Neurospora crassa OR74A: one gene and its partner. The protein of the gene in region 1 purifies or fractionates together with the protein of each later gene. This does not show direct contact. Links are inferred from orthologs where the notes say so. Each region holds a gene or a part of one and is shown in the gene's direction. Other genes may lie near its edges.

Region 1 (4,082 bases):
GAAGTGCAAGAACGGTTATGGGGTCTCGCCGGGAGGCAACCGTGGTTCACCACCAAAATGGCTTTCCGACACAGCCATTCACAGGCTCCATCACTTGAACCGAGTCTGTGAATAGTAGAGTTTGGTTTTGGTTTATCTGCGAAATCATGTCCCATGGCTCAAATTCTTGTAACGAGCTCGATGTTTCCACTGGATTTCCAACATCACAACATGGTAGAACCAGTCAGGCTGTTCCAGGGCATCATTGATGGGTACTAGGAGAAGGCGCAGACCGAGAACTTCTTCGTCAAATAGTCGATGAACAGGTTCTTGGTGTTCAAAAGTTTTGACATTGTTTCCGAGTTCCGATCCCTTGCCTATTCCTTTCAAAGGTCACACTTCTGTCATCCCTCCCGGGCTGCCGTGTGCGTAAATGACCCTGAGTGAATCAAGAAGTATGGACCATGCAAGTAGAAAAAATAATGAGGACAGGTCAAAGTGTCAGCGGAATTGTGACATTTTACAGGTTAGACAAAGATGAGAGGTGATAGTGAATACTTGGTACTACTGCGTGGTAAGGCAGAGTTCATGTACCTCGGCGCAAAGACGCACCGAATGCAAGTCTTCAGCGAGCGCTTATGTACCTCTCTACTGCGTGGGTAGGCCCGGGGATGTGCCGCGGAGTTGACGCCCGATCCCGCGCAATAGAAGCAACTCGTGTAAACGGAAAGAATGAAATGATGCACTGCAATAATAAGCCCGCATAATGATACTGACGAAAACAAAGAAGGAGGGATGAGATGAAAGACAGAAGTCACTAGTGCCAAGTGGAAAGCTCCCGCTCTGGGCAATGTGCAGCAGACGGGACCGTACGACGGGAATTAAAGTGACACATGCCAGGGGTCTCCGAAAGCGCCCGAGCGCAGCGCTCGCTCCAGGTACTACCCACATAGAACTTCCTAGGTTGCTGGGTAACAGCCCAGTCCAGTTACCACCGGTTACAAACAACCTAACCGGGTAATAACATGTTGTAAACCTTTCGCTAAGATGCTGTAAACTCTCCTCTAACATGTCGAGGATAGCGCCGATTGCTCCTGCCTACCCACGATAGCGTCAACTCCAGTACCGCCTCGGCCTGGTGTCGTTCTCGTTGTTGGGCTTCCGTAGGTGCAACGCCGTTGCAACCCTCCATCCTCGTTGCCCCTTCCGCCAACCAGTTGAAGGCAGGACCTTGAACGTCGCCGAGTGCTCCTCCAATTTTCGGGGACCACTGAACAGGGGCAGCTAGCTCACTGAACAGCGCAGACATCCGATTTTGTCAACTTCCTACCAACCACTTGAGCGAGGTCCAAGTTTACTTGCGAGTTCTCGTCCAGCTTCTGGATGGATGTTTACAGCAGCTCCCCTCTTCGCTTTCACTCAACATTGGACCGTGACACATGCGTGCACACAACACCTACGTGCTCCTCCTTCTTACAACAACGAATGCACGTTCTGCTCTTCGACCTTTATTCTAGCTTTTCAACATAGCCAGCCCAGTTCACCCTATGCGGTCGCCCATTCGCAGTCCTCAAAAAGACTCCATCCCGTCACCCACCAGGCTGTCCGTGTGCAGCTGAGCGCTTGTGCCGAACCTCGTTCACCCCGCCCCCAGGCCGCAGGCCATCACTGCCCGTCTACCCACAATACAACGGAACCCACTGTCTACCTAAAAGAACACCTCAGGTGGCGGCCAAAAGAAGTTCTGCCGTGCGCAAAGGTTTGCACAGCTGCATACCGCCCGTGGCATTGAACAACTAGACGGAACCGACCATACTTTTAGTTTTCGAACAAGGAAAAACGGAGATTGTTTGATCCCGGCGACCACAGAGCTTCTAAAACTGGTCCGAGTTCCCTGCCTGCACTTTCGGGAAGGCATTGTTGGCTGACGGATATGGACTAGGCTTTGATCGACATCGATGTCGGCGCGTCCAGTTTACACCACTAGTTAGCTTAAGGTCTTTCTGTCATCTTGCTCGGCGACAATCTTCAAGTCCCAAGTCCAGTCCAGTCCCCTTGGTCTTCCGTGCGCGCCAACTCGAGCGGACCTTTCTCTCGGTGTCCAGGTCCATAGCATCGCGACGGTGAACCCGACAATAGCAGCTCTCGACGACAGTGACGACGATTCCACGAACGCGAATCAGCCAGCCACAGCATCGATTGGCGACCCTTTTTCGAGTGCTGCGCAAGCTTCAGTCGTATCTCCAAGAATTGGCTTTTGTTCAGTATTCAGACGGAACCCGGCCCATCGACAGACCAATTGGAACACCGATCTATGCCGAACGCCAATCCGTAGGAAAGTCGAAACTGGTTGGAGAGTTGTCACGATAATATGGAGGCTTCATCGCCCCTGGCCGCGATTCGGCCTGCTCCGCCGTCCTTCAGCCAGCCAGAAGTGCTTGGACCGCGCAATGGCAACTTGGCGCCACCAACAGGTCTCTTCAACTTCAAGCGATCCAATGCGGACTTGTTCAACACCAAACATGCAGGAAGGTCTTCGCCTAAGGGTTCGCTGGTCGCCGGGTCGTCAGAAAACTTCAAGCTCAATGAAGCAGGGTTAGCCTTTTCACTTAGAAGTCGAACAACGGATAGCATTGTCGACAGTGTTGACCAAATGGAACTTTGCAGTAGCCCGTTACCTCCGACACCACGGCGTGCGCTGTTCACCTCAACAGGTATTGAAAACGCGGTTGAAGGTCGTGGTGAGTAATCAATGGAGCGAGCAATCTGCTACATAGCTTATTTAAAGCTCGGACGCTGACAGATCTGTAGGGTATGCAACCACGCCGCCGCCTCCTGCATCTTCGTCACCTGCAGTTAACAGGTTGGACATGTCTCCGGTACCGATCAAGGCACCTTTCCTGTCACGTCTCGCCGCTAGTCCTTCTCCGGCTGCAGTGGATTCTGGCGATGAAGACACACTACCAGACTCACCTGCTGCTGTGCGGCAGCTGTCTCAAGAATCCAAGGGAATCGGTGCCGAGTAAGTTCATGCTTGACTTTTGATCAGCAAATCTTCCTGAACTCTACCCTCGTCCTTTGGTCTGTGCAGAAGCTAATCATCTCCTCTTCTCTTTGCCAGGCGAAGGAGACTTGGCTTGTCTCGTCCACCTCTGGCCCGGGCCAAAGGTTATAGCACGAGTAGTATACCCGGGCGCTCCAACGGTTCGGGGTCGGGGCTGCCGCCCTTCCGCTTCGGTGCCCGGAACCTCAAGGTACCCATCTCCCCTTCGGTGTCGTTGTCATTGAGCGAATGTTTCGAGGAATCACCCCCGCAGGAGCGCCGGACACCTGTCTTGCCGGGTAGTCCATGCTCTAATGCAGCGGCAGCGCGCTGCAAGACTCATTTTGGCAGCGGCAGCAGCATTAACAGCGTTCGCAAACGTTCTCCCACCAACAATGCCCGCACACCTTCGAACCCCTTTGCCCGGCAAAGGAAAACATTCCGCCGCTCGCTGTCCATGTTTGAGAGTCCGGGCGACATTGTCAAGCCTAAGGAGCGCACATCTCTTCCATCTAGTCTCAAGTCTGTCGTGGATGTCAACGAACCTCAGGAGCCTTTATTGCCACATTTTTTCCCTTCAGGCGAGAACGATTCTATCCCACGCATCAGCCGAGACACATTGCTCGAAGTGCTTGACGGCAAGTATGGTAGTCAGTACTCGCACAGGATGATTATTGACTGCCGCTTCGAGTACGAGTATGAAGGTGGCCACATTGACGGGGCCATCAATTACAATGACAAGGAGCTTTTGGCGAGACATCTGTTCGAGACCCCTATGGAAGGGCGCACGCTCTTGATTTTTCATTGCGAATATTCAGCCCATCGCGCGCCCATCATGGCCCGCCACATACGATCCGAAGACCGCACTATCAACGCCGAATTTTATCCTAAACTCACGTACCCCGATGTTTACATCTTGGACGGAGGCTATAGCGGATTCTTCCAGAATCACCGGGAACGTTGCTGCCCTCAAGCGTATATCGAGATGAATGACGCCGAACATGTCAACACGTGCGAGCGAGAAATGGGCCGTCTACGCCAGACCCGTAAGGGCTTTAGT
Region 2 (4,118 bases), about 2.5 Mb from region 1:
GTCCATAAAGGAATTCACGGCAACGCGCAGCATGCGGTTTGTGGTGGCCTTGTAGTCGACTTGCAGGACCGTCTCCCCAGCATGTTCGCTGCCAGGAGACGCAACGGTCGAAAGTTCCCGCTTCACGAGGCCGGAGAGCTCCTTGTCCACCCTCAAAGCCTGCAGGGCAACAGAAGCTAACCGAGCATCAGGGAAGGGCACTCGGAGTGTTCTTGTCGGTTGCTGTGTTAGTGTCGATTATCTTGAAAGGTATGCAGAGTTTGAGTGAAGCAAGGATGTGACGATGATCTCATGAGACGAATGGTACAAGATGAAAAATTGAAAAAAAAATCAAAAAAAAAAATTTCAAAAATTGGAAAATAAACAGAGGATCAAAACATATCAGAACAAGGAATGAAGTAACAATCAAAAACAAATGACCTACAGCGAGCAGGGGAAGTTATCGTCGGTTGCCATGGTTGCGGTCTTTAATAACCCCGAAGTAAACACTTGCAAGAAATATGTTGTCGTGAACCAAAGGGTTTCAGACTGGCACTCGCCTAACGGTTGTCAGGGGAGTTTGTGTGGTAAGCGCTACCCGATGACGAATGTCAAATTCCAACCGCCGCGAGTGTGCCTGGGCTGTGATGACCGATAACAGGCCCTTGTGGGAAACTCTGTAGGAACCTCAAACTGTATCTCACACTGGCAATTCCGCAGTGATGTTACTATCGTCTACAGTTATCGCAAGGTCGTAGGCGGCAGGCTGGCTGAACAGGGAACGAGTTTCGATATTCGGTTGTTGCCGTGTGCTGGGCGCAAAGGCATCATGGCGGCTTTACAGAAAAAGGACAAGCTCCGGCAACACCTCCCTCTCTACCTCAGCTGGAAAGTGGAGCTCTGGGGGGGGATCTCCCGTCAGAGCGAAGCGATTGGATGTTACTGGTCCAGGCGCGACTGCGGATGCCAAGAGAGAAGGTTGTCAGGACAACGGCGGGTGAGATGGAGCTTTGAACGCGCTTATTGGGCGGTGAATTGTTTTGGAAGATACCAAGCCCCCCGAATTCTTCGCTGGCCCACGCTAAACCCCGGGCGCAGGCAGAGCGGTCGGGCAAGATCAGTTGCGACTTGGAGGCGGTCTCTGCATGGAAGGTGAGGTGAAGGTCTCGCTCGTTCTCCGGTTCGCCAGGGTCCCTGCCAATGACAATACACACACGACATACAACCTTGCCAGCAAAAACACCGCTCTTGGTAAGTACCGGTAAAGGCCGTACCTGCTACAAAACCTGTTCTCCGCAACCAGCTCATACCCACCGGTCTTTTCTGACCTCCTCCTCTCGCACATCATCATCGAGTTGCCCACTCCTTTGTTTCTTCAATTCTCCTGCCTCCGGTGCCTTCGTTCTTTACAAGAATTGCATTCTCGCAGCCGGTGTCCTCTCGTCCTTCTTTGGAGGCTTTGGCCCTTGTTTTTGGCCCTTTCATCCCACCCCGCACCTGCAGTGCAGTACACAGTCCCTTGCCTCGCGGTATAGCTACCTAGCCCAGCTTGGCTGCTTGGTTTTCCCTTGTTGGCACACAATCGCTCGCGCAAACGATCTGCGATCTCGACCTCACCTTCTTCCCGTCAATCAATCCGACCATAATTTTGGCCGACCTCAAGTACAGCCCTCAAACGACAAAAGATCGAATTGGACTTTAACATCCTTCGCTCCCGCCTCCCTATACGTAGCTCATTGCATTGCACAGCATCACTATTCCCGTACGTGCGCCTGCGCATTGTCGCAACGCCAATCGCTCTCTCGACATAAACAGTCGACTTTGAGCCTCCCAGGCCACGACGCCATGGCTCCTTCCTCCAGACACTCCAGCAATCTGGGGCAAATCATCGAGTACATTCCCGGTACGTGTAGATTATTTGTGCGCCGCTCCGGTCCTCTTAATTGAAGCTACAATTTTTTTTTTGTTTTGCTTCTGGCTCCGTTGTCCGAAAACTCCATGTTTATGATCCACCCGCATCCCATGTTCACCGCTCCGCAACGGAGCTGCTCGTCCCAATATGAGCACCTTTGAATATCCTCTACAATATCAGCAATTGCCTTACAGTATACTAACCTTTACAGACCGATTGTACCTTGCATCTTACTCTGAACCTCCTACCGAGCATACCTTGTTTCCCTACCCGGATCCTGAACCACGGTCCCCGCGCAAGCGCTCTCAACGAACAATCGACCAGGTCACGGAGCGTAAGAAGCCATACTACTTCACTGTCGACGATACTCTTCTATACAATGCCTTCCACCACGATTTTGGCCCGTTCCACATCGGCCACCTTTACCGCTTCGCCCTGCAGTTCCACGAAATTCTTGGGGCCAAGGAGAACAAAGACAGGCCGGTAGTGTTCTGGAGCAGGGCCGATCCACGCAGTAGGTCATCTAAGTCCGCCTCCTCGAGAACAGCAAAGATTGCTGACCAATGTTACCTTAGGTCGTGCCAATGCCTCTTGTCTACTAGCTTGCTACATGGTTTTGATCCAATCGTGGCCTCCGCATCTAGCTCTTGCGCCGGTCGCCCAGGTTGACCCCCCTCTAATGCCGTTCAGAGACGCCGGCTACAGCCAGGCCGACTACGGCATCACGGTTCAGGACGTTGTGTACGGCGTTTGGAAGGCCAAGGAGGAAGGCTGCTGCGTGTTGGAGACATTCGACCTTGACGAGTACGAAAAGTTTGAGAGAGTTGAGCACGGCGACTTCAACTGGATTACACCCAACTTCCTGGCATTTGCCTCTCCTCAGCATACCCCGGTTGCTCCCACCCCCGAGGGGACCGAGCAGTGGTCACTTCTGCCAAAGACCCTAGCCGCCGTCGACGCACATCCTACGCTGCCGCAGCCCTTCAAAAATGTTCTCAGGCATTTCTCGGAGCGAGACATCGGCCTTGTCGTCAGGCTGAACTCGCAGCTCTACAATCCCTCATACTTTGAAGCCCTAGGAATCAACCACATCGACATGATCTTTGAGGACGGAACATGTCCTACCCTTTCGACCGTACGGAAATTCATCCGCATGGCCCATGAAACCATCTCTAGGAAGAAGGGCATTGCTGTTCATTGCAAAGCTGGCCTCGGCCGAACAGGCTGCCTCATCGGTGCCTACCTGATCTACCGACATGGATTTACAGCAAACGAGGTCATTGCCTACATGCGCTTCATGCGCCCAGGCATGGTCGTAGGGCCTCAGCAGCACTGGTTACATCTGAACCAGGGCATCTTCCGGGAGTGGTGGATTGAGGAGCGGGTTGAGCGGAGGCTGCGCAAAGAAATGGCAGCCGCTGCCGCCGCCGCCGCTCAGGCTAACGGGACAGCGCATCCCAGCACCCCTGTCCGTGCCGTGTCGAAGACGAGTCTTGGTCGTAGCTCTAGCAAAAATGGCGTGTCCACACCCTCTAACAGAGGATCAGTTCGGACACCGCTAGGCGAGATCGATCGGGAGTCGGCGCGTGACAATCATATCGGCGTACAAGAGGATTACCTCCCCGCACCTACGCCAGGACAGCCAAGGAAGACGCAGCGGGGCGCAGTAGATCGCCAGAAAGGATATGGCCGGGGACCTATTCAGACCACTGTGGAGGAAGAACCCGTTCCCATGACAGAAGTGACAACCGAGGTGATCACAGTTCACAAGAGCTCAAGAGGGCCGAGTTCAGAGGAGGAATGGAATCTTCGAAGATCTCGGCGAAGACAGTCTGCTGCTCCAACTTCACCAGGACAACCCCCCGAACGGTCTGTCACCCACCAAACCGCTACCACGAAAACGACTGTTTATCAAGTCATGGATAATGATGCATCGAACGATATCGAGAACATTGGTACTGCCGCAGCACGAATCAAGGCCCATGACCACGCTCCACGCACTAGTTCCGCGTCTGGAGTTTTGACCAAGATACGAGGCAACACTAGTGCGAAACGCCATCCACCTGGGAGCGTCAGAGAAGCTGGTGTTCGAAAGACGAGTGGACGAGTTGGGAGTATAGGGAACTCGACAACCAGTCCGGCCGCTGTATCGGCAATGCGTAAAATAAGTGGGATGTGACCCTATTCTCATGAGTCAAAAGATTATACTTGACTTGATGTGTTACAA

What was found.
Region 2: the proteins of NCU02496 (region 1) and NCU03246 purify together in Schizosaccharomyces pombe (affinity purification with western blotting; 3 studies listed by BioGRID, with this or other methods). This does not show direct contact. The link is inferred for Neurospora crassa OR74A from reciprocal best matches to the Schizosaccharomyces pombe genes cdc25 and clp1.

The regions. Positions count from the first base shown.
Region 1 is NC_026501.1:2,517,960-2,522,041, reverse strand, and holds the start of NCU02496 (M-phase inducer phosphatase 3), read left to right. Parts: upstream 1-1,258; 5' UTR 1,259-1,862; intron 1,863-1,921; 5' UTR 1,922-2,350; coding exon 2,351-2,574; intron 2,575-2,646; coding exon 2,647-2,720; intron 2,721-2,790; coding exon 2,791-3,001; intron 3,002-3,100; coding exon 3,101-4,082.
Region 2 is NC_026501.1:5,041,851-5,045,968, forward strand, and holds the start of NCU03246 (tyrosine-protein phosphatase CDC14), read left to right. Parts: upstream 1-1,278; 5' UTR 1,279-1,824; coding exon 1,825-1,882; intron 1,883-2,102; coding exon 2,103-2,405; intron 2,406-2,466; coding exon 2,467-4,070; 3' UTR 4,071-4,118. Other genes in the region: NCU03245 (hypothetical protein), read right to left, coding at 1-211, 425-456. UniProt on the Schizosaccharomyces pombe protein: Protein phosphatase which antagonizes mitotic cyclin-dependent kinase cdc2, the inactivation of which is essential for exit from mitosis. To access its substrates, is released from nucleolar sequestration during mitosis.